Linked DNA regions of Arabidopsis thaliana. The protein of the gene in region 1 interacts with the protein of each later gene in a pairwise test. Each region holds a gene or a part of one and is shown in the gene's direction. Other genes may lie near its edges.

What was found. Proteins that work in one complex are often made in the same cells at the same time.
Region 2: the proteins of RBL2 (region 1) and AT3G24460 interact in a protein complementation assay, tested with the Arabidopsis thaliana proteins (one large-scale study listed by BioGRID).
Region 3: the proteins of RBL2 (region 1) and AT5G40640 interact in a protein complementation assay, tested with the Arabidopsis thaliana proteins (one large-scale study listed by BioGRID).

What each region holds. Positions count from the first base shown.
Region 1 is NC_003070.9:23,407,514-23,414,272, reverse strand, and holds RBL2 (RHOMBOID-like 2), read left to right. Parts: upstream 1-3,133; 5' UTR 3,134-3,547; coding exon 3,548-3,822; intron 3,823-4,361; coding exon 4,362-4,525; intron 4,526-4,638; coding exon 4,639-4,802; intron 4,803-4,868; coding exon 4,869-5,219; 3' UTR 5,220-5,469; downstream 5,470-6,759. Other genes in the region: AT1G63130 (Tetratricopeptide repeat (TPR)-like superfamily protein), read right to left, coding at 1-1,419; AT1G63110 (GPI transamidase subunit PIG-U), read right to left, coding at 6,516-6,608. UniProt on the Arabidopsis thaliana protein: Rhomboid-type serine protease that catalyzes intramembrane proteolysis. Can cleave the Drosophila proteins Spitz and Keren. May function in pollen elongation.
Region 2 is NC_003074.8:8,886,458-8,896,306, reverse strand, and holds the start of AT3G24460 (Serinc-domain containing serine and sphingolipid biosynthesis protein), read left to right. Parts: upstream 1-3,103; 5' UTR 3,104-3,451; intron 3,452-5,379; exon of another isoform or gene 5,380-6,250; intron 6,251-6,380; 5' UTR 6,381-6,589; coding exon 6,590-6,800; intron 6,801-6,873; coding exon 6,874-6,947; intron 6,948-7,042; coding exon 7,043-7,202; intron 7,203-7,289; coding exon 7,290-7,314; intron 7,315-7,402; coding exon 7,403-7,492; intron 7,493-7,581; coding exon 7,582-7,753; intron 7,754-7,862; coding exon 7,863-7,936; intron 7,937-7,942; exon of another isoform or gene 7,943-8,475; coding exon of another isoform or gene 8,476-8,792; intron 8,793-8,864; coding exon of another isoform or gene 8,865-8,946; exon of another isoform or gene 8,947-9,301; intron 9,302-9,432; coding exon 9,433-9,502; intron 9,503-9,584; coding exon 9,585-9,802; intron 9,803-9,849. Other genes in the region: AT3G24465 (Plant thionin family protein), read left to right, coding at 1,167-1,430; AT3G24463 (nuclear transport factor 2 family protein), read left to right, coding at 8,476-8,792, 8,865-8,946.
Region 3 is NC_003076.8:16,273,822-16,281,670, forward strand, and holds AT5G40640 (uncharacterized protein), read left to right. Parts: upstream 1-3,220; 5' UTR 3,221-3,523; coding exon 3,524-3,617; intron 3,618-4,085; coding exon 4,086-4,194; intron 4,195-4,287; coding exon 4,288-4,480; intron 4,481-4,565; coding exon 4,566-4,699; intron 4,700-4,778; coding exon 4,779-5,067; intron 5,068-5,147; coding exon 5,148-5,254; intron 5,255-5,340; coding exon 5,341-5,476; intron 5,477-5,550; coding exon 5,551-5,746; intron 5,747-5,849; coding exon 5,850-6,099; intron 6,100-6,184; coding exon 6,185-6,437; 3' UTR 6,438-6,588; downstream 6,589-7,849. Other genes in the region: AT5G40645 (RPM1-interacting protein 4 (RIN4) family protein), read right to left, coding at 6,589-6,612, 6,742-6,930, 7,054-7,062; SDH2-2 (succinate dehydrogenase 2-2), read left to right, coding at 7,641-7,849.

The sequences.
Region 1 (6,759 bases):
TAATAAAATGCTGTATGTCATAATATCGGGAAGCACACCATCAGAAACCATCTGTTTGAAAACTATTTGGGCATTATCACACTCTCTAGCTTGAAAAAATCCATGGATAAGAGTGGTGTAAGTGACTGTGTTGCCAACCAATCCTCTTTGAGACATCTCGCGGAAGAGTTCCATACCTTCGTCTACTCTCTTAGCCTTACAAAATCCCTTTATAAGAGTATTGTAAGTCACTACGTTTGGGAAACAGTCCTTGCTAATCATCAACTCAAACATGTGCTTGGCCTCGTCTAAACGATCGTGCATACAAAACCCATTGATCAGTGAACTATAAGTGAAAATATCAGGATCTATAGACCTTTTGATCATCTCGTCGTACAATTTCTCAGCCTCTACAAGCTTCCCCTCCTTCACAAATGCATCAATCAATGCGCTGAAAGTGACTACATTTGGATTGATTTTCCTCTCAATCATATCACTGAGTAGTCGAGAAGCATCACTCCATCTTCCGTAATTACAAAGGCATCTTATGAGGGAGTTGTAGGTAACAACATTTGGTCTAATTCCTTTGTTATCCATTTCAGTGAACAGATTGAGTGCATCATTCACGTTTTTGTAGTTGCAAAGAGCATCAATGATAGTGTTGTAGATCACAACACCAGGCTCTATTTTCCCTTGTTCCATCTTCTTTAACAAACTCAAAGCCAAATCAATATCACCTCTCTTACATAATCCATTTACTACAATACCATAAGTAACCAGATCTGGTTGACAACCTTTCACAACCATCCGGTCAACTAAAGCCACTGCTTCTGAAGCTCTGTTGTGGCGAAAAAGTCCATGAATTAGAGTGTTGAATGTGAATGAATCGGGCTGATATCCCATTTCCACCATCTGACCAACAAGAGATACGGCATCTGAAATCCTATTCCCGTGACAGAAACCATTGAGCAGAGAGTTAAGCGTGACAATATCGGGCTCATAGCCGAGTTTCATCATCTTGGCAAGAACAGCTAAAGCAAGAGAGAGCTGAGAGCGTCGGCAGAAACAGTTGATGAGAATACTGTATGTGTAAAGATTATGTGAAATTCCCAAATTTTGCATCTGCTCGCCGAGAGAGATGACAAGATCGAACTTGTTCATCTTAGCAATGGCACTCAACAGTTTACTGAACTCAACAATCGAAGGGAAAGGACGAGACTTGACCATGTCACCGAACAGATTAACCGCATCATCTAGCTTCAAATCATTTAGCCTATTTATCGATATTTTTCTGTAATCATATCTAACACCAGAGAAATCTCGTACCCAGAAACTGCAATGGCTAAAGGAAGGAGGAGCAGTTCCACATTTACCTTTTCCGAGAAGACTCCGATGAACAAATCTGTTTCCCGTCGATGAAATCGCAAACAATCTCCTCATCTTCAGCTGATTGGGGTTTCTTCCAAAATCACTGATTCAGAATCGTAAACTCTCTGTAAACTTGTATAAACCCTAAATGATGAACCTTTTGCAGACAGAGAGAGTAAAGGTTTGAACTTTTGGTTCTACCAAACCAAACAGAGAGAGAGACTCACATAGGCTGAGAGAGTGAGAGTGATATTCATCCAGTTTCGCACCACCGTTGGATCATTTGACCGGTCAAGATTTCATCTTATCATTTTTATCACCGGTTTGGTTTATAATCACATAATGTATTTTTTTTTGGTTTAGTTCTAAATTGAAAGGCCAGCATTAGCAAATAAATATGAAAAAAACAAAGAAGATTATCAAGTTTTGCTATTTTGGTTCCATATTTGTCTAACTATATTTCCTTCATTTTTTTTTTTATTGCTGAGATGTCCCTTTCTAATTAAGGTGAAACCGCGTGGACCTTACCAATTTATATCTTGGATTGTAAAGATCTATATCTGTTTGGTTCCACTTGTATATGATACAATGATACAATACAAGTTTGGTCATTATCATTTTTTCTAATCATATGTCAACAAAACCAAAGTATGCATTCATTTTGCAAAATATACACATCTATTTGTATCACCTCCCAAACATTTCTCCCATTATACGGACTTGGACAAGTATTCATACCTCTGCAAAAGTCTTATTGATAAATGAATGTGAAAGTACATACAATTGGTTTAGAACATTAAACACGAGTTTGGTTTGGACACATGGCTTTCATATACTCCTTAGTGATAAATTATGGTTAATTATAACCATCTTTGAAGTTTATTCTAATATTTTATTTATTAATTTCATTGATATGGTTTCAAACGTCAAGGAATATTAAACCTTTTACGAAAAAATTTCGGGTGGATCATATAATATCTTCCCTTCAATCCTCAAAGTTCTCGAACTCTACCAATACCTACAAGGCTACAAAAATTTATACACCATTGAAATATGCTGCAACGAAGTCCATTTAAGGCCTGATGATAAATTCCTTGGAGATCGACAATAATATCCAAGCGATTGTTAGTGAGATTATAGAGTTAGTCTTTGTTGGATTCAATAGTTTGTTCCACAATGTAAAAGTCGACTATTCTAAAGAAGCCCTTGGCAACTTATTAAATCTTATAAATAGTTAAATATCGAGACCGTAGAACCTTTTGCTATATATAGTTTTTCGTCAGAAAAAAAAAGTCTTCATGCTAGAGAAAAAAAAGTTTAACTTATAAATACCATGCTATAATTAAAACAAAATAACACGTACTACAAATAGTACTAGCTTATATTTTCTCTCTTTTTTAATAATTAATTTTCTAAAAAAATACATATCTTAAGAAAATATTATTAAAATTAATTATGAATATATTATTTTTTGTGTTTTATATTTTTTTATAATTAAAAATCAATAATATTTAATTATTTATCTTGAAATTTGATATTCATCAATAATATCTAATTAATATTGCAAAAAAATCTAGAAATCCATCTTTTAAAAACACTTTTTTGTATAAAAAAAAATAAAAAAATAAAACCCTTTTTGTAAAAAATTCAATTAAGAAAAAATAAAAGGAGTATATGTTTTATCTTCTCTTTTTACTTTAACAAAATACCTTGTTTTTTTGTTGTTTTCAAGTTATATATTTTGTAATCTTGTCGCAGGTCTGAGTTGTTTTTTGCACTCAGAAAAGAAACTTGTACTAAAACCTAGGAGAGGAGGAGCTGGCACCACCGCCTAACTCGCCATTGACACAACACCAAAAACTCTTCTTTACTTTTTGTTATTCTACACACATCGATAAAGATTAAGAACATAATTAATAGAATTCCATAAATAATTAGATGCACTAACTTTTCAACATCAATTCAACGGTTTAAATTCGTGAAAAAGCGTTTTTATTTTATTTTAATGGTTACAACTTTGTAGTTTTTACCCTAAATCTCTCTCTGATTACTGATACTCTGTCTCAATCTCTTCTTTCTTCTAATCCTTTATTTCTTGTAAGCTACTTCTCCTGAATTTCGTATTTGATCCGTTTAATCCAAGTTTCGATTTTATATAACAACCACATAGACAGAGAGAGAGAGAGAGAGAAACAGAGTAATGGCGAACAGAGATGTGGAGAGAGTAGGGAAGAAAAACAGAGGAGCTAATAACAATTATTTCTACGAGGAGTCTTCTGGTGAAACTCATTGGACTTCATGGCTGATTCCGGCGATTGTAGTGGCAAATCTCGCTGTCTTTATCGCTGTTATGTTCGTTAATGATTGTCCTAAGAAAATCACCGGACCTAACAAAGAGTGTGTTGCTAGATTCCTCGGAAGATTCTCGTTTCAACCACTTAAAGAGAATCCTCTCTTTGGTCCTTCTTCTTCAACGTAAGTATTACTTTAAAGTTGGAGATTCATGTTTCATCTTCTGGGTATCTCCAAAGTCTCAAACTTTTTGGGAGTCCAATTCGCAATTGAATTTGATCACTATTGTCTGTTCTTATGGAAATTGAGCTCAAAGTTTTCATTTTTCTGCAGTAATTAAGATTACCCAATTAGTGCCTTACTGATAACGTCAATGAATTTGTAGTTGAAGCTCGAGATTCTAGAATTTGTTAATCTAAGTTACTGGCAAACAAGTTTGATCTTTTGGGTACCTAAAACGTCTCAATTTTTTTTGTTTTCAACAAACTGAAAAAGTCTCAATTTTTGTGTTTTCAACTTGGCAATTGAATTTGATCTTTATTGTCTGTTAGTGGCTTGGAACATGAGCTCAAACTTGTAGGGTTTCTCAAAGTTTTTATTTTTCTCCTGGAATTATGTATTTAGCTTGGTTTGGAATTATGATTTGTAAATTTCATTGGCAATTATTGTAGTGATGGTGTTTGTGATTGATTTGGTTTTACTCGGATATGTACTTGTATCAGATTGGAGAAAATGGGAGCATTGGAATGGAGGAAAGTAGTACATGAACATCAAGGATGGAGACTTCTCTCTTGTATGTGGCTTCACGCTGGTATCATTCATCTTCTTACAAACATGTTGAGTTTGATCTTCATTGGTATCCGCCTTGAGCAGCAATTTGGCTTCAGTAAGTCTTACCTTTACGTGTACAAGAATTATTGTTCAGTCAAGTTTTAGACTCTCTTTGTTTAATCGCCAAGTGAAACATTTGATCTTTATCGCGGGAATGTTACTGTGCAGTAAGAGTCGGGTTGATATACTTAATATCGGGTCTCGGTGGAAGCATACTTTCGTCGCTTTTCCTTCAAGAAAGTATCTCTGTTGGTGCTTCGGGTGCTCTCTTTGGACTTCTTGGAGCAATGTTATCTGAACTTCTTACCAATTGGACTATCTATGCCAACAAGGTACTTATGCCCTTTTCGCTATACGCGCCTTAACCGGAACTTAGGATTAACGGCTTCTTTTGGCAGGCGGCTGCTCTGATCACACTTCTGTTCATCATCGCAATCAACTTAGCATTAGGCATGCTTCCTCGGGTTGACAACTTTGCACACATTGGAGGGTTTTTAACCGGATTCTGCCTCGGGTTTGTCCTCCTTGTCCGACCTCAGTACGGTTGGGAAGCTTCCCGCACCAACACTTCGCGAACCAAACGAAAGTATAGCATGTACCAGTACGTGCTGTTTGTAGTTTCAGTGGTGCTACTTGTGGTTGGGCTAACGGTTGCATTAGTGATGCTTTTCAAAGGAGAGAATGGGAACAAACATTGCAAATGGTGTCATTACCTTAGCTGTTTCCCAACTTCTAAATGGACCTGCTAATCATCATCATCATCATCATAATCATATAGTAAAAGCTTTTATATGTGTTCTTGTTAACATTTAATCTCTTTGATCTCTCTAGCCTTTGATTATTTATATATGTGTACATTACCAAATTCGTCTTGTGTAAAAGGGGATAGAAATAAAAGAGTGTATTATTTTTACATTTGAACACCATATTTCTCAAACTGTCTTTAAGTACATAAATAGTAAACAATTTTATTAATGTAAAACATAAGCTGTAATTGGAAATAAATTCCTTTAATTTGGTTATAGTACACACTTTATAGTATCCATCTTAGGTCTTGTAGATTATTATTCTTCCTTTGCTTCAAATTCTTCTTTCTCTAGATCTCTTTCTTCTTGAGTTTAACATGATAGCCATTTGGAAATTGCAATCCAGGAGTTCGAAGTATATTTCCTCCACTAGTTTCTTCCCATCTGATGAAATCCAAGAAACAAAATTACAAAATCAAGAACCATTAGTTGTCTTAACTTAACAGATGAAAAAGGAGTAGTTTCAAACTGTATTTTGTGACTGAGCTATGAAGGAAAACTGCAGTTTGAAGTTTGAACTTTGCTGAAGTCAGCTCCGATACACAACCGCATTCCATCACCAAACGCCATGAAATTCCATCACCACACGCCATCAATACAATATATAATACCAAGATATGCAATCATGCATACATCAGCTTCATGCAATATATGCATAATTTTTAGGAGATTTCAGATGTCACAAGATCGAATTGAACATATATTTTCAACAGTGTGAAATACAGTTATACGGTTAGGGTCTGATTTTTGTTTTTGGTACCACGTGGGTTTTACAAGTTTTTATGATATTACAAATAAATTAATAATGCATCACACTTCATTTATTGTGAATGGGTGACTTTTAAGAAAACAATGACCAAACACCACCCAATAACCTTCCTGCACTGTGTCATTTAGGCCTTAATGGTGCAGTGGATAAGGATAAAGTACGGGACATAGACAATGCCTTTAATCATCCACCATTCACAAATGATAATACCTTGTATACATGCGATGTAACTTCAAATATAGGGATGATTGTGTGCTTTGCGGATCAAAACAAGAACTTTAAAACCTCTCGGTAAAAAGTACAAATTAATGGTTACTCTAAACGGAAAGGCACAGGAGATTTGTTATTTATATGATGTTCTCAAACAAAGAAAAGCTACTCACACAAATCACATGTTGCCAACTTTAAGCTAAAGACCCAACTCTTTTCTTTACGTGTAACAGAAAAGTGGCGCAATGACCTTCAATGGCTTAGCTCTTGACTTCTCGATGGTTTGAGTTTGATCTCTTCAGCGCCCTGTCATGGTTTAGCATTGCGCTTACGCTCTCAACCACGAAAACGATCTGTAAAGAAAAGCAGAAACCCGTATGCGGGTTTTAGTCAAGATAACCCAAAACTACAACATTCTTTGATCAATAACTGATGATCTCATCATCCTCTGCTTGATATCATCAAATTTTGTACTATATGAGTATCAACTCCCAACTACTGAAT
Region 2 (9,849 bases), on another chromosome or scaffold:
TCATGAAATTGCGTAGTCTTTTGCCTTTTCTCTTGTTTGTTCGTTTATGCGTTTTTCCTTGCATTCTTCGCTTTGGAGTAGATGAATTTCCAACGTGTTTCTTAGAAGGCTTCGCTATTATTTTGAGTATTTTTCAGATTATTAAATGTTATTGGTTTTACCCTCACATATCCAGTTCAAATGTATATAATGTTATTGGTTTTGTTATATTGTAATTAAGTTTCGATCAGGGTGCGCTAATTCCAGTGTCCTTTCCAACCAAAAGCTCGATGTAAGAAACAATGATTTACCAAGTGTGTTACTAGCTAATTTTTCTTTTGAAGTGATAATTAATAGATGCTTATAAGATGCCAACTGAGAACGTTCACGTTTCTCAGCTTCATTTGTCAAGAAAGTACGAGTCCCGAGCGTTTCTAATTCGTTAAGGCATCAATATCAGGGTCATTGGAATACATGATAGCATTATGTTCATGATACATATGTTAAAAGTCGACAATTATATAAAAGTTTGATTATCTTGGTTATTTGTTCGAATTCCATATCTTCAACTTCATTTTCAAAAATTTTAAATTAGTTTCTTTCATTTTTTATAATTCATTTCTTTCATGTTCATTTTGTTCTTATTTCTATTGCTCTTCTAGCTATTGTTCACTAATCAAGGCCTATAATTTCATCAGCTGAAAAATCATATAATAGTAACTGAAGTCATATAATAGTAAAAAAAAACTGAAGTCATGAAAAATAAAATAAATTAAGTATGGTTTAAAAAAAAAATTATGAACCAAACCGTCAATCAGAAACATTAACAATATAATCGATTCTTTAGAAACTAATTATCGAATCTCAAGAAAGATATATTTGTAAATAACAAAAATTTGGAACGAGAATAATATATTTATAGGTTTCTTGACAACAAAAAATTGGAACGATAAATTGTTTGGACAACCAATAACATAAACAAAAAAACTAACCTATCAACCAAAAAAACAAACGGATATACTTCCAAAATAAATAATTTCAAGAGGTCAAAACTATTTTTTGCTATATAAAGTAAATAACTATAGACACCCAACTCAACAATATTCATCCTTTACAATTTTGTATTGCTATATAACCTAAGCAAAATTTAATAAGTTTGAACACTCAGAAACGCATCTTTTCAAATAATGGCAACTCAAACAACAAAAAAGATATACAGTGTTTTGATGATTGTAGTTTTATTTACGATGATTGTTTCAACATACGCGAGTACGATGGAAGTGTGTGTTAAACACTGTATCCCGAATCAATGCATGAAAGTTTCTCAAAAGGCAACTCTTCCATTATGTGAGACTGCTTGCACAAAACTTTGCAATGAAAACAAAGATGAGAAATATATCGTGCCTCGAAGCTACTGCGATGGATTATTCTGGTTTCTATGTGATAACTGAAATTTAATAAATATGCAAAATAATATATATGTATTTCTTATTTGTGGAAAATAATATATCATGTAAGTATGTACCTTTAATCAATATACTAATTTTCATGTAATTATTTTATTTATACTAATCAAATTAACGCGGCAAAATGGTGAGAAGTTATAATCACCAAACTAATATTTTTTTTGTAAATCCAATATTGTTATCAACATTTTTCACATCAATGTTTAGATCATTTTTTTGCTAAAACTAATCTAATGGTTCTCTACCAAACCATTAATTTATGGGTTTGCTATTTACAATTCCGTATAAATGATTAGGAATGATTGTGAAAGAGGAGAGCAATATCGAGTTATCTAAAACTTTTTTGTTGCTTGTTCATAACAATAAAAATTTTGTGCTACGAATGTCAAAATTTTAGGATTTGTGAGTATTAGAGAGGATGTCTATACTATTTGGTTTTTCTTGTTAATGTTTTTTGTTTTTGTTTTTAATAGAATATGATAGTTCATGTATTGTTCAGTGAGCAAAAAATTGTGTATATATTAAAGAAATATATTATTTAGTTAGTGTATGAATATAAATTTGTAAACTTATGGTGAATGATGCAAAAAATAAAACTTGATTAGTAGTTATGGTCATTGATTTAAAGTTATGTTGATCAGAGGTTTTTTACATACAAAGTGTTTTTCATTTGTCAATTCTTAAAGCTCCATCATATTTGAAAATGTTTGAGGAAAGATTTGAGGAAAAAATTAGCAAATGGGTTGTGATGATTATAACCAAAAAGCAAAAGATGGTTTCATTGTGTATACATACAACTGTTTGACCCAACGAAGGAAACAAACTCATATGCACCATTGGCTTTTGTAGTTATTGTTGTTTGTCTTACTTGATTAATGTAATGAGCGTTTGATTACAAAGCGTCACTAATTCTATTCTATTGTTTTGAACTTCTCATTTATGCAAGGCACAATTTGTTTTTGACGTTTGAGACGGTTACTCACTCACTCTTTTGTATTTTTGATTTTAGAGTAGGAAACATATACTTGATTTTTAGATTGTTATGCTTCTAAGGTTAAAATGTTTGAATCGACAGGTAATATTTTCATTTCTTTGAGATTTATAACTGCAATTTAAATATATGTTCTTTCTGATATCTGTAAATTTTGTAAAACAAATATCCACATCATAGCGTGGGTTTCGATCTTAGTGGATTATAAATCCTATAGTCATTTGTTTTTATAAACGGTGGGAGATTGGGAGTAATAATTAAGAAAAAATACATCTAGATATAAGACAATAAATGATCATAAGAACAAGCACGTTCACTTATAATATAATCATTAAGTACAAATTTAAAGTCAGCACTAAAATTAGTGATTTGTGGTAAATTAATTGCCTAGTAAAAAATTTAATACCATAACTATTAAAGTCTAATTGGCATGTTTATCCATAAAAACAGAGGTGTGTGTATTTGTAATAATATTTTCCTTAATTTCTTTCTTGTATATTGGCAATATAGTTGTCATGATTATATTTAGTATTTTTTTCTAGTCAAAATAAGAAATATTATATTATTTTAAAATTATGAATTACTTTGTTTGATAAATTATCAAATATTGTGGTTATAAAAAGAGAATTGTAGATTTTTTTATTTTTCTTATTAAAGAATAATACGAGGGGATGTAGCGGAAATAGGAAGCTAACAGCAGGAGAAATAAAATATAACTTACATAGAAAAAAAGATATTCACAAAAAACTAAGCTTTATATGTTATCTCTAGATTTTGTATATATAAGTATATAAACAACTGTTTTCTAAAAGCAAAAGCTCTGATCATAAAACCTGAAACCGATTCTTTTTTCGTTTTCACATTTCTCTCAGATTTTTTTTTGTCCTTCTTATCTTCTTCTTCTTCTTCTTTGGTTTCACATTTAGAAGAAGCTTGTGGAGGTAACAACACTCAACATTCTCTACATCTCTAGATCCAATCTCGCTTCATATATTCAAGACACGAAAAATCACAGGTTCTTTCTCTTTCTTTTCTCTTATTTGTTCTTGTCTTTTTTTTACGATCTCTGAGATTTTAAAACATGTTCGTGTTGCGTGTGCTAGTTATGAATTATGAATGTATCTCGGGAAAACGAAACTTAGCTCCGGGTGAAAAATTAGTGATGTAATATTTTTGCTTGTTCTTCCCGTCGCCGGGAAGACCACCGGAATATTGGTCGGAGCCACTTGTCAAAATTTTAGTTTTAACATTTTCCAAAGTTGTGGAACATCATGGGACCCTTAGTTCATCACTTTTTTCTTTTTCAGCCTCTTTTCTTTCTGCTAATTATCTCACTTTGCCAACAAGATTAGCCGTGAAAAATCAACATAATTATTGATTTCATAATTCATGTTTAGTTATAAATGTGTATGACGAAAAAACACATGAGGAGCTTAGCTATTGACAGATTTTGACCTTTTTGTCAAAGTTTAAAGAGTCGCTAGGAAGTTATCGTTTTGAGTTAGTCAAAATTTAGTGTTGTTTCCTTTAAAAACATAATTTACAATTGTTTTACGTTTTGTTTTTGACCCTTTTTTTGTCAAAGTTAAGTTGTTAAGAAACTAAGGTTTTGCGTTAGTCATTTAGTATTGTTTCTTTTAAAACATATGTAATTTAAACAATTTAGTATCGCTTTACGTTTGTTTTTCCTTCTTTTGCAATCTAACTCAATTTCTGCGGCTAAACTCAACTAATTTTCTCTTCACTGAGTCAAAAGAGAACACACACATACAAAAATTTCAACGTCTATTGGCTGTCCATTTGATTGTGTGGAGTCAATGAAAACACACTCAATTTAGAAAACAATTAAAAAAACAACAACAACCAATGTATGCATGACTCTTTGGTATTATGGTTTACTAGTCATCTAGTTGTGCAAGATTGGTTTAGGTGTCGGTTATTTCCGGTTTGTTATCCAATTTAGGTAAATAAAAACGATTTTAATCGTCAAAGTAAGTTTTTGGTATCAAGAGTTGTCTTTTTGGCACGAAAGATTTGAAGAGGTCCATATACATCATGGCCTACCTATAGTGTGTTAAATAATACTATATACTCATTACTTTAGTTTAGAGCGTTATGAGATATGATACGATAGACCAATTCTTATTTCTGAGAATCTAAACATTCTGATCTACTACCTAGGCTACAAATTCCAATACTTCACATCTTCACATGCTACCTCTATCTTAGGGTCAAATTTACCATTATTCTCTCTATTTTTCATATTTGTATATTTGTAATTCATAATGGCAAGGCCATGAACTCATTACTCCCAAATCATAATTATTAGTCTATATATACGAACGTGGAACGTGAGAATGATCACTAGATCTACACAGTTTTACTTCCTATATCCCTAAATTTTATGGAAAGGTTTTAAAGCGAGCTATTGATTTTCTCTTGTTAACTCTTTTCTGAAAGACAAAAAAAAACATTTTAAACCTTGTTTCATACATATTAAAATATAAATTCAGTGGATTATATTTAATACAAATAAAAATTATTTACCAACTAAATATTAAAAATCATAAAAATCTAGATTTAAAAAACTCACATTAATTTATGTAATTTAAACATTATGTATGCGGCTGAATTACTATTATACGCACGGATCTGATCCGTTTGCATCGCCGTTTGTGATGGTTGGTTACTCTAACCCACGAAATCCATAATTTTCTAACCTCTAAAGACTAAAACTATAGCCCTTACTTGCCATATGTGATATGTTCTAGCCTACGGGTTTATGGTCAAGTTTTTTTTTTTTTTTTTTTTTTTTTTTTTTTTTTTTTTCTGTTCTTGGGCCTTGGAAGTTCAAGATTAGACTATTATGGAAAGTAAATAAAGTATGAAACTCAATATAAGAAAATATTGAAGATACTTTAGAGATAAAAGAAATTTGAATATTTATAATGTATATGTTAATGTCAATATTGTAGATGACGTTTTCTTTATAAGATCTTTTGTGAATATAGTCTTTCCATTATCCCACTCTCTTCAATTCGTCTAAGTGGAGGTATGTGTCTCCACTCTATTAAGTGGACCAATAAAACCCTAGAAAAGCGCATCTAATGTTGCTGCTTAACATTACCCATTCATATTCGTAAGATTCGTCTGCCCAATTGTATCCGTACCAACACGTTTCTTTTTCAATTCCAAATTTTGTGACAAATTGCATAAACTCTTTTATCTTTATATGATCTGACTCTTTTTTTGTTCGTTTTCTCTTTTGATCTCTTAACCTTTTGTTTCCTTGTCAAATAAAGTTTTTTTGGGTGCTTCTTTGTTTATCCACGCCTCTCCATTATCATTAGGGTAATTATAGTTACAACACAAAAAGGCTCTTGCTTTTTTGGATTAGTATTTATGAGTAGTTCCTGCCAAATCTTGACTTTGAGAGTTTTAATTCTTAAGAATCTTGACTGTCTTGCTTTTTAAGTTTGGTATGTTTTTGTCTTTTAGTCTTTATCATTCATATGGTTAAGGTTTAAAGTTGCAAATCTTGGATTAAAATGAGCCATCTATTGTGGATTCTCGTTGACACTTATAAAGATTTGCTTTTTTAGTTTAGGTTAAAAAGAAGATAAAGGTTACTTGCACTATACGTATTCTCTGTTTATGTTCGGCTGAAACAGAAACGAAACGAGATGCTTTCTGTTGAGAAACGGATTCTGTGTGGTTTTTTGAGAATAGACTAAAGATGTTTCTCATGTAAAACATGAATTTTGTTCACTTCAAAATCTACCAATTGTAATCTCCACCGTTTCTGAATTGATTTGTATGTGCTCTTCTCTTTGTTTTGATAACGGAATCAGATTCTTATCCTTTGCTTCATTCTTTTGTCTTCTTGTTCTGTTCTTGCCGACTCTGTTTTTCATTTTTTGAATTCTCATTGTTTATTTCCACAGGTTTTGATCTGAAGGACGAGAAATCTCTGACAGGGACAGGGACAGGAATTTGTTGCTCCTGTTTTGCGTTTTTCGTTATTGACGATTCTTTCATCTAAGAAACTGATTTCTGATGCAAAATCCTCCCATGGAATGAGTGATCTGTTTCTTGAATTTCTTGATCTTCTAATGACATGAAGAGGAGAGAGTCTTGGTAACTTTAAGGAGTAATGGAGACCGGTACAAGCGTTAGCAACAACAACCAAAGCATCAGAAACGATAGCTATGAAGCAATCAAGAATGGATCATGGTTTAATCAGTTCCGCAACGGCTGCAATCCCTGGATGGCTAGATATGTATACGGTCTGATATTCCTCATTGCGAATCTACTAGCTTGGGCTGCTCGTGATTATGGTCGGGGTGCCTTAAGAAAAGTGACAAGTATGTGCCATTAGAATCATGTTTTAAGTATAACTAAGTAATTCGTTGTCTTATAAGTTTGATCATATTGCAGGATTCAAGAACTGTAAAGGTGGCGAAAACTGTTTGGGGACCGACGGTGTCTTAAGAGTTAGCTTGGGATGTTTTGTATCCTTTCTTGATTCAGTTGTTATTACAACTTTATATGATTTTTTGAGTCACTAAATCAGAAAATGTTTTGAGCTTAACCGTTATATCCTCAGTTGTTCTACTTTGTTATGTTTCTTTCAACACTTGGTACGTCGAAAACGCATTCATCAAGAGATAGATGGCATTCTGGATGGTGGTTTGTTAAGCTCATCATGTGGCCTGCCTTAACCATCATTCCCTTCTTGCTTCCTTCTTCCATTATTCACCTTTACGGTTAGTCTTCCATGAAAGTAGTCTTCCTCTAATAATCATGTGGCCTGCTTTAACCATACGTCTTTTTTCTTTGGTTTGATTTTGCAGGAGAGATTGCCCATTTTGGTGCAGGGTAAGACTTTGATTGACTAGTCCAACTTCACAATGTATATATGATGTGAAAAATCCCAAATCTTATATTGTTGTTTTTTTCTCTATAGGGTATTTCTCTTAATACAGCTAATTAGTGTGATCAGTTTCATTCAATGGCTCAACGAATGCTATCAGTCCCAAAAAGATGCAGAAAGATGGTTAGATTCTTTCAAATTCGAATCATAATATATTTTTAGTTTTTATTTCAGTTTATACTAAGTAAGCAATACTCTATTCTGTTTTGTAGCCGTGTCTATGTGATGTTACTATCAACTACTTCATACACAGTTTGCATAGTAGGAGTGATTTTGATGTACATTTGGTACGCGCCTGATTCTTCATGTCTTCTCAATATATTCTTTATAACATGGACTTTGTTCCTCATCCAACTCATGACAAGCATCGCTCTCCATCCTAAAGTAAGTCTTTATTGTTTCCATTACTATTCATGTTCATGACTTCATGTCATGTGTGTTTTGGATGTTTGAGGTTATTAAGGTTTGTTTGTGCTTTTGCCAACACCAACAGGTTAATGCTGGATACTTGACTCCAGCTCTTATGGGACTCTATGTTGTGTTTATATGCTGGTGTGCCATTCGAAGGTATGTTTATGTTTCCTTTCAATCTTGATCTCTGTTTTTTTTTTCAATGTCTTAAAAAGTTCAAAACCGATAATCCGGTCCGGTTAGATCTTAAAAATCTAAATTATTTGACCCGGTTAAATCAGATAAAAACAGAATTAACCTACAAACTGATAGTTTGGTTGACCGAGCCGGTTAGTTGTTCAAATTAAAAAATTTCACTTGGTTAAAAAGTTTGAAAATCAAATAAATAAAACATTGTTTCATTTATTTCTCTTTTTTCCTAAGTTTTGACTTGGGGATTTGATTATTTTTTTGAAGTTATTCTCTACAGAGATTTTTAAATTTATTTTGTGGTTTAGGTAACTTCTCTAAAGTTAGTATGGTTTAGGAATTAGGAGTTAGTAGTAGAACTAGTCAAGTAGGATTAGGAAATATAGTTGGTTTTGGGAGTCTTTAGCCACTATATATATGGTGGAGAAGATAGGCCAAGAACCATTCATTATCTTCCACTTCTGTTTTCAAAGCTTCCATCGTCAAATCTCTCTGTCCCTGGAGATATGTCAGAGAACAACACTACTGCAGAGATTGTTAGCAAGACCTTTGTGAAGCAATACTATTACATTCTTAACGAAGAACCTCACTATCTTCATATCTTCTACAATGAACCCTGTCTGTTTAACCGGCGTGATCCTGCAACCCATGTCAAGAAAGCTTTCTGGACAAAGAAAGAAGTGAAAGATGAGTTTCTGGCTATGAGATACGAAGATTACACGGCTGAGATCGAGACTTCACTTGGTATTCCATATCCTATGGGGAACGGTCGTGTTATTGTCTTTGTCAATGGTTACTTGACTAGGAAGAAAGATAACGTGAGGTACAAGTTTACACAAACGTTTCTTCTGGTTCAACAAGACAATGGCTTCTGTGTCGTTAACGACATTTTCAGGTTCAAGGAAACGCAGACACAGCTACCAACCTCAAACCCAATTCCTCCATCTCCTCAAAAACCAGCAGCAACGGAGAGTTAAGCTTCCGTTAGCGAGAAAGCTCCAAGCGAAGGGGAAGAGTGATGACTGGTCTATGGGTTTCTTTTTTAGGGTTCTAGAATTATGTGTTCCAAGTCGGTTTTGGGTCGGGTTTCTTGGTTTAAGGATCCTAGGAAATTAGGAACCGAATTGAAATATTTAGGTTCCTATTAACATAATCTAGTTATTTTCTAGTGTTTTTGTAGAGATTTATCTTTGGCTTATAGTAAATCTCATTGTTTCAGCTTTTGAAAAAGTATAAAAAAATTCCCAAAAAAGTTTGATATAATTTCTAAGGAAATTCTGATACATCTCATTATATTTATGAACATCCTAAATGTATTTGTTATTTTCTGCATCTCCTAAGATTTATATATATATGCTCATAAGAAGCTTGAACTTAGTAGTGAATGTGGAGCTATAATGTTTTCTTTTATGATGAAGACTTATAATTGTAAATTGATTCATCTCCAATAATATTTGGTGCAGTGAACCAGTGGGCGAAAGTTGTAATAGAAAAGCAGCAGCTTCAAACAGAACAGACTGGCTTACCATCATTGTAAACTCTCTTAACCTCTCAACATTCCTTTGCTTCTGTTTTATGCAAAAGTAATATGCTGATTTTGAATAACATTGTGCAGAGCTTTGTGGTTGCGCTACTTGCGATGGTTATCGCGACATTTTCGACAGGAATAGACTCCCAATGTTTCCAATTTAAGAAAGATGAGAACGATCAAGAAGAAGAAGCTGAAGATGATGTTCCATATGGCTATGGATTCTTTCATTTTGTGTTTGCCACAGGAGCAATGTACTTCGCTATGCTACTCATCGGTTGGAACACTCATCATCCCATGAAAAAGTAATATTTTTTTCAACAATCTTTTGTGAGCTAGCTTTTGTGAGACT
Region 3 (7,849 bases), on another chromosome or scaffold:
ACTAAAATCATTCACATGTAAGGGAAATCTATTTGAATTATACGACGTGACATGTTAATTGTGTTGTTGCTAGACTTTAAACTTGGATATGTGTTATTAATCGATTCATCATCAGCTTCAGGATAAAGATAAATAGATAATATAGTTACCCACAAAAACATGGAACTTGTATATATGTCTTTTGCATTCTTTAGGTTATAAAAACATGGAATTGTGGAGCGTAATGGGCTTGAGATTCAACCTCACGAAAGCAATAAAGAGAAATAGAAATCTAAAAGTCTGCCGGTCAACAGACAAATATGACGAGAGATACACTACGCATGTCAATATATTTGATGCGATTTCCTAGAATCAAATATTATTATTCTATAATTCTTCTGTTAATTATGTATAAAAACATACCGTAAAATCTAAAACTTATGACGGGATAAAAACATACTCTAAAGATGTCTAAAGAGTACTTTAATTTCTTCAAGTTAATGTTTTCTCGTACAATATAGAAAAAGGGATTCGAAATAGATACGAATCACGCGATAGGTCACAAAAAATATTAAGCAGAGTACAAGAGTTACTAATGCAAGCACGTTATGCATGACTAACTATTGTATGTAAAAGAATAAAATCTGCTTATATGTAAAAGAGATTATTTGGTACTTGTTTAGTTGTTTAAGTCGTCGTGAGCATATAGCATCGTTTAGTCTATTATAATTTAATTGTAACTGCGGAAAAATTAAAAGTAAAAGAGATATAAATAAAGTTATCAAAACTTATCAAGTAGTTAGTGGGTTCTTTATTTGTCAACACACGAAAAATCAAATTTGCTTGGAATGGTTGATATTAGATTAAAATCTCTAAAAATACTCAAAAGTAATTCCAAATATGAAACATAGAACACTAACGTCCGATGTCAACCACTTAACACTAAAACAAAGTTGATTAAATAAGCTGAGGTCTCACGTTAAGTAATTTAACAATGGCATAGGAAATAAAGAGTACACAACATAAGCTATTTCTCATTGCACAAATAACTTTGAATGTATTCTATTAAATATCGTTTGGAACACAAGGTTGATTCTCGGACAATTTCCAAAAAATTTGCTCATGTGATCTTGCTCTTTTCTCGCTATACCAGTTCATGGTAATGTTTCTATTAGATAGTGACTAGTCGGCGTAGTAGTTTGAAGTTTCAACAAATTATAAGTTTAGACATAGGCCCAATCTTCTCTCGCTACCAGTTCATGGTAATGTTTCAACAAATTATATATAAGTTTGATTTGAAGTTTGTTGTCTTCAAGTTTTTGTTCCGTACTGATTGGGCCAATGTCTAAAGTACACTAGGCCGTCCAAAAGAGTCTGAAATTTTATTATAACTTAGACACATTTCATATGGGCTTCGTATCTTGGAGAATCATGAGTTGATCGTGATGCCGTCGAAATTTGAAGACTTTGGCCGGCTTTCTCCATCAATTTGGTCGGACTTTTATATTTGAGAGTTAAGTTTACTTTGTCTTTATAATTTTTTTTTTCGTAAACTATATCATTTCTGCTTGTCTATGTAATTTATGACAAGTTGATTTCAACAAGAAACAAAAGTTAAAAGTTGAAAACTATGATATTATATATGTAAATTTTTTCAGTTCTTTTGTTTTTATTTAATTAATTTTCATTTCTCAATTTCAAATTCTTCATATGTATTTTTCCTTTTTAATGACTTTAATAATATATTTATTCCCATTTTAAAAGCGTGTCTCATATGTTGTTTATTACATTTAAAATAAACAATTGTTAATAATCGTTTTTCTTATTATATATATTTTAATTAGATTATAAGACAAATAATCTTATCCTATAACCTTCAAAAAATCAAATTATATTATATTATTCAAAAAAAAAAAAATCTTATACAAAAACCTTCAAGTCAATCGAGTTTTATATGTTGGACTTATAAGACAAATAATTTTATAACAACATTCATGATACCATGTTAAGTTTTATATGCTTCTACTTAAAACTAATTGATTATAAGTAAAATTAACAAATCATTTATACACTTGTATTATTATAGGTCCATCACACTCCTCATGTATGATTTCAAACAAAGTGATTTTTGATGAGCTGGAGGGGTTAAACAATTTTAATTAAAAAATATATAAAAAATACTAAACTTTGTTTGACCAGTCGTACCAAGTTGAACCATGGTCTACCAGTTAATCCAATTTCAAATTATGTTTTTGTTTCAAGAAAAAATAATACTCCATCTGTTCTTTTTTGTTTGATTGTTTATAAAAAAAAATTGTTTCTAAAAGATTGATTTTTTAAGTTTTCCATGTAATATTTATTGGTTAGTATTGGTGAATTGTAATTTTCAAGAAAAATAGTTAATTATCATTGGTTTAGAGGTATAGAAAACTGTAAAACACTAAAAATAATATATTTATAATCAATATTTAATATATTTTTTTAATATGTATGTTTTTTCTAAACAATCAAACAAAAAAGAACAAATGGAGTAATTCAGAAACCATAGAAGAGGGAGCACCTGTCTTCGCTTTTGATTGCTTTTATATTTCTTTTTCCCTTCTTTACTTCCGATTAGGTTAGAATGCATAGAGCCATAGATTATTAGTCTTATCACTTATATTATTTATTTTTGTATATAATATTTACTTTTATAAATAATTATAAATCTTATACTATTAAATTTTATAAACAGATTTATTGTAATATTTTCCAATGATACCATTTAATATATAGTGATGTTTCATATAAAGTTCATTTTAAAAATGAAAATTATGTGTTTAGCAAAGGTGGCAATAGCTTTTAGAAAATAAAGTAGAAAATAATGGGTTTGCCAACTGCCACATAAAAAAAAAACCTCTCTTTTAATATATACTTAAATGTAATAAACAATAAGATAATGATAATGTGATTCTTTAACTGTCGCTTAGTGTCGACGTTAGAAAAAAAGAAACACTAAAAATGTTCGGTTCATGTCGTTTTCTCCAATTCCTTTATCTCGTGCTTCTCTTCTCAATACGAGGAGGAGGATGTGTTGGCCCATGCGTTAAACAGCAGCACAAAAACCGATCACCAAGAAACACACCCGATTTATTTAGCAGCACACGAAATTGAAATAATATGTAAATTAAAAAATATACTCTTAATTTATTCAGTTTTAAATGTATTTTTTGGTTTAGGGTTTATAGACGGTTTCTTAACCGTCAAATCTAATGTGTGTGTGACATATTCTTCTCTCTCTCTCTCTCGAATCTTTCGTGTTGTTTGCTGTTCAAAATTGAAATTTTAAATATTAAAAAAAAAGAAGAAAACTTGTTCTGCTTCTTGTCGTGTCCGTCACAGTTTGAATTTCTCTCTCTCTTTCTCTCTTCCTCATAAAAATCTCTGCTTTACCTTTTCTTTTCAAAGGGTTTCATTTTGATTCTAGGGTTGTTCTAAATGCGACATTTTGACTGATGGGTCTTTGTTGAATTTGAAGAGAGCAAAAGAGAAAGAGATTGTTCTAATGGAGCCTCCAACGGGAATCTTGGCTTCTCTGTGGCAATTTATACTCTTCATTCCTTATTTCACTGGTTTACTGCTTCTCGGTGTCATTAAAGGTAACAAATTTCAGACTTGAGTTCGATGATGTTGACATGAGATTGGCTTACTTGATTTGTGTAGGCCTCCATTAGGGTTGTTTCATTTATTCATCAATTTGCTTCAACAGTTACTGAAATTAGCATTTCTAACCAATTTAGCGATCTTCAATGCCATAAAGTTCCCTTTTTTTAATTGAAGTAAACACCTAATCCGTGAACGTTGTTCTGTTTTAGAGATCTTGCTCACTAGTTTAGTGGCTTAGGATTTATCTAAGAGTGATTAATTGGTACATAACATTCATCAAGTGCTTCCGAAGTTAGTGAATTTGGTATGAAATTAGTTTCTTCAGTACTATAAAGTTCTCTTTTTTTAATTGAAGCAAGCCCCAAAGGCCAAATCCGTGAGTTCTTTTACTAGTCTTGTTGACAAGTTTTGTGGGAATGAATTGTTGTGAACGTTTCTTTACTTCTTTTTTGTTTGCTTAGGTATCGTTTTATGCCCGCTTATATGCCTTACTGTGGCTATTGGAAACTCTGCAATCATCTTAGGCCTTTTACCAGTACACGCGATTTGGACTCTATATTCGATAGCGAGGTACTTACTTCTTTCTGAAACAATCTCTGCCCTCTATAATAATACCATTGTTATCTCTTTCGATGTTGTTGAAGTGTTTTTGTTTGAAATCAGTGCTAAACAGTTAGGACCAATCCTGAAGATCTTTCTGTGTTTATGCGTTCCTCTTGGTGTCATTCTCTGGCTTGTGGTTAGTATCTTAGGAAGTGTTCTTGGAGGAGCTATTTATGGATTTCTTTCTCCAATATTTGCTACTTTCGATGCTGTTGGTGAAGGGAAGTCTAATCCGTTTTTCCATTGCTTTTATGTAAGTCTCTTTTTCTCCATGTCTCGTTCTTTATGTTATTGAAGATTAGACCTCAACACCTACATTGTCTGCTTTCACAATTTAGGATGGAACTTGGAGCACTGTTCAAGGCAGTTTCACCGTTGTTTGTGATTTTAAAGATGTTTGCTTTCACTCCTACTTTTCTTTTATGGATGATCTTCGAACATCTACTGCGAACCGTCACTATTATGAAATAAGGTCTTCAGAAAATTTCAGTAAATTGTGTGTATTGATTACTTAACAGTGCTTTCTTACAGTTTTCACTTATATTTCTCAGGTTACTTCAAATTCCAGGTGCTGTGATTGTTGCGGTTCTCGGAATTCTTGTTGATTTCCCAGTGATTTCACTCTTAGCATTGTGTAAAAGCCCGTACATGTTGTTCAAAGGGTGGCACCGTTTGTTTCATGATCTCATTGGACGTGAAGGTCCTTTCTTGGAAACAATGTGTGTCCCAATCGCTGGCCTTGTGATCTTACTCTGGCCTTTAGCTGTTGTTGGAGCAGTTTTAGGATCCGTGGTCTCTAGTGTCTTCCTTGGTGCTTATGGCGGTGTAGTCTCATATCAGGTTATTAAACAATGACTTTTTTTTTTGAGGAAAATGTGAATGCTGATGATACTGAATTGGTTTCTCTTGTCATAACACAGGAGTCATCGTTCTTCTTCGGTCTCTGCTATGTTGTTGCTTCTGTTTCTATTTACGATGAGTATAGCAACGATGTTCTTGATATGCCTGAAGGTTCTTGCTTTCCCAGGTTTGTCTCCATTGGCTTATCTAGCAATCTTTACCTCTCTCTCTTTCTTTTCATTCTAAAACAGTGGTTTTATGGTTTTGTAACAGGCCAATATATCGAAGAAACGAAGAGGGCGCTAGTACGGCATTTTCTGGTGGTCTTTCAAGACCGAACTCCTTCAAGACAACTCCATCAAGAGGAGGATCAAACAAAGGCCCAATGATTGACCTGAAACCGCTTGATGTACTCACTAGTCACACTCTTCTTTTGGTTATCTTTGTATTTAAACCTGAAGCCTATTCTTTTGATCTTTGCAGCTTTTGGAGGCTCTATTTGTGGAATGTAGGCGGCACGGAGAGATTATGGTAACGAAAGGGATTATAAATTCAAAAGACATTGAAGAAGCTAAATCTAGCAAAGGCAGTCAAGTGATCAGCTTTGGCTTACCTGCTTATTCTCTTCTTCACGAGCTTTTACGCTCTATCAAATCTAACTCCACCGGTTTATTACTCGGTATGTTTCAACAGTTTTCTGTCAATTTTCATAACCGCATTATCTAGTAACTATTTGAACATCATCAAGAAACAAACAAAACCGTTTCTGTGTTTTTGTTTAGGTGACGGTGTAACGGAGATAACTACCAGAAACCGCCCAAAAGATGCGTTTTTTGATTGGTTTCTGAATCCGTTTTTGATCCTTAAAGACCAGATCGAAGCTGCAAACCTATCCGAGGAAGAAGAAGAGTATCTTGGTAAATTGGTATTACTCTTTGGAGATTCAGAGAGACTTAAAAGCTCCATTGTTGAATCTGAATCTCCTCCTCTAACTGAACTCAGAAAAGCCGAACTTGATGCCTTTGCTCGCAGGTAAAAAAGGCAAAAAAAAAAACACACACAATCTTGTTACGGCTTTCTACTTCGGATTCTAAGATGTGTTTTTGGTTTTGGTTAGGCTTCAAGGATTAACCAAATCAGTATCAAGATATCCAACATTCAGAAGACATTTTGTGGAACTAGTCAAGAAACTATCAAATGATCTAGACAATAAACATAACCGTTTTGAAGGCGGTTCGAGATCAGTTCCACGTCCCGGGAAAACGGTGTCTCGGATTTTCAGCCAAAAATCGTTCAAGAAAAAGACAAGTAGCAATGGGTCAGATCAAGATTCACCAAACAGAGGGTTAAGAGACATTGATATTGTGTAAGTAAATGTTATGCGACCAGAATTAGACCGAAACTTCGTCTGCTTTTAGCTCTGTAATGATAAATTTATACAGATTCCAAGTGAATATGAAACTGTTTCATTTATCTAACAAATGTTTTACATTCAGCTTTTGCTTGATGATGTGTTGTTTCTCAGAAACAGCAGAACCGTTTCTTCTGCAATAGAAATAGCAAGCTTTTAGTTTTTCTTTCACTTTAGACCTCATTTGATCTAAAACATAACAAACATAGGCTGATGTTTTCGTTAGTCATAAAATCTTGAGCAATTGGGATTAGAAATGTTACCGTAGGTTCATCTTGAGATTTGTTATTGTCACGGCGTTGTGAGGCGGCACGACCACTTGCGTTTGTCTTTTTGTCGTCTCGAGCTTTAGCGAATATAACCGTAAATCCTTCGGCTGATGCTGGATCGTTCACGTCCCATTCTCCAAATTTTGGTAATGGTCGATCTTGTTGTTGTCGTTGTTGATTATTCTGAAAGTTTCCAATCACAAAAATGTTTGATTTCTATTATAATCCAACGAAAACACACATGAAAATGCTATTTTTTGTATCAAATTTGTGAAACAAATGAGAAAGAAATGAGAAAGATCTTACCGATGCCATTCAAAGATTGTGTAAAAGATGCAAACAGAACATGAGATGATCTTTCTTCAAACAACAAGAAAACTTGTTTGTCTTCTCTTTTAGTTTTTGTTTTCTTAAAAGAATTTGATTACGTTTAAAGAATTAGAATTTGAGAACAGATTAGCGTTTTCTGAAAGTTTAAATATAGGTTAACGTTTTAATTATTGTTGAAACTTGAAAACAGAAAACACCAATCTTTTGTAGCGAAACGGAACGCTTTTTCTCGTACCGTCTTTTGTTTTCGAGTGAACTTCATCGTATCAAAACTCGCCACGTGATCTACACACTTCTCGAGGCGAACACGCGCATTTCAGAACTTATCCATTAATCTCTGTGATTAACCTATAAGCCGGTATTTATAAACGGTCACGATTTTCCAAGTTTTTTAATCAACGGTCGTTATTACGTAGACGAAGCTAAGCCTCACATCTACAAATACGTATACATACATTTTTACATAATAATTAATTAATAATTACAGGTTATTAACAAATTAATCATTTTTAATAGACTATTAAAAAAACAATTTCATTTCATTTGCTCTCTTCTCCGAGAAAATGGCGTTTGGTTTGATCGGAAGAGTTGTTGGAACCAAATCATCACGATTATCCACGGCGGCGCGATTGATTCCGGCGCGATGGACATCAACAGGATCAGAAGCACAATCGAAAGCTTCAACCGGCGGCGGAGGAGCGAGTCTGAAGACGTTTCAGATCTATCGATGGAATCCAGATAATCCTGGAAAGCCAGAGCTTCAAGATTACAA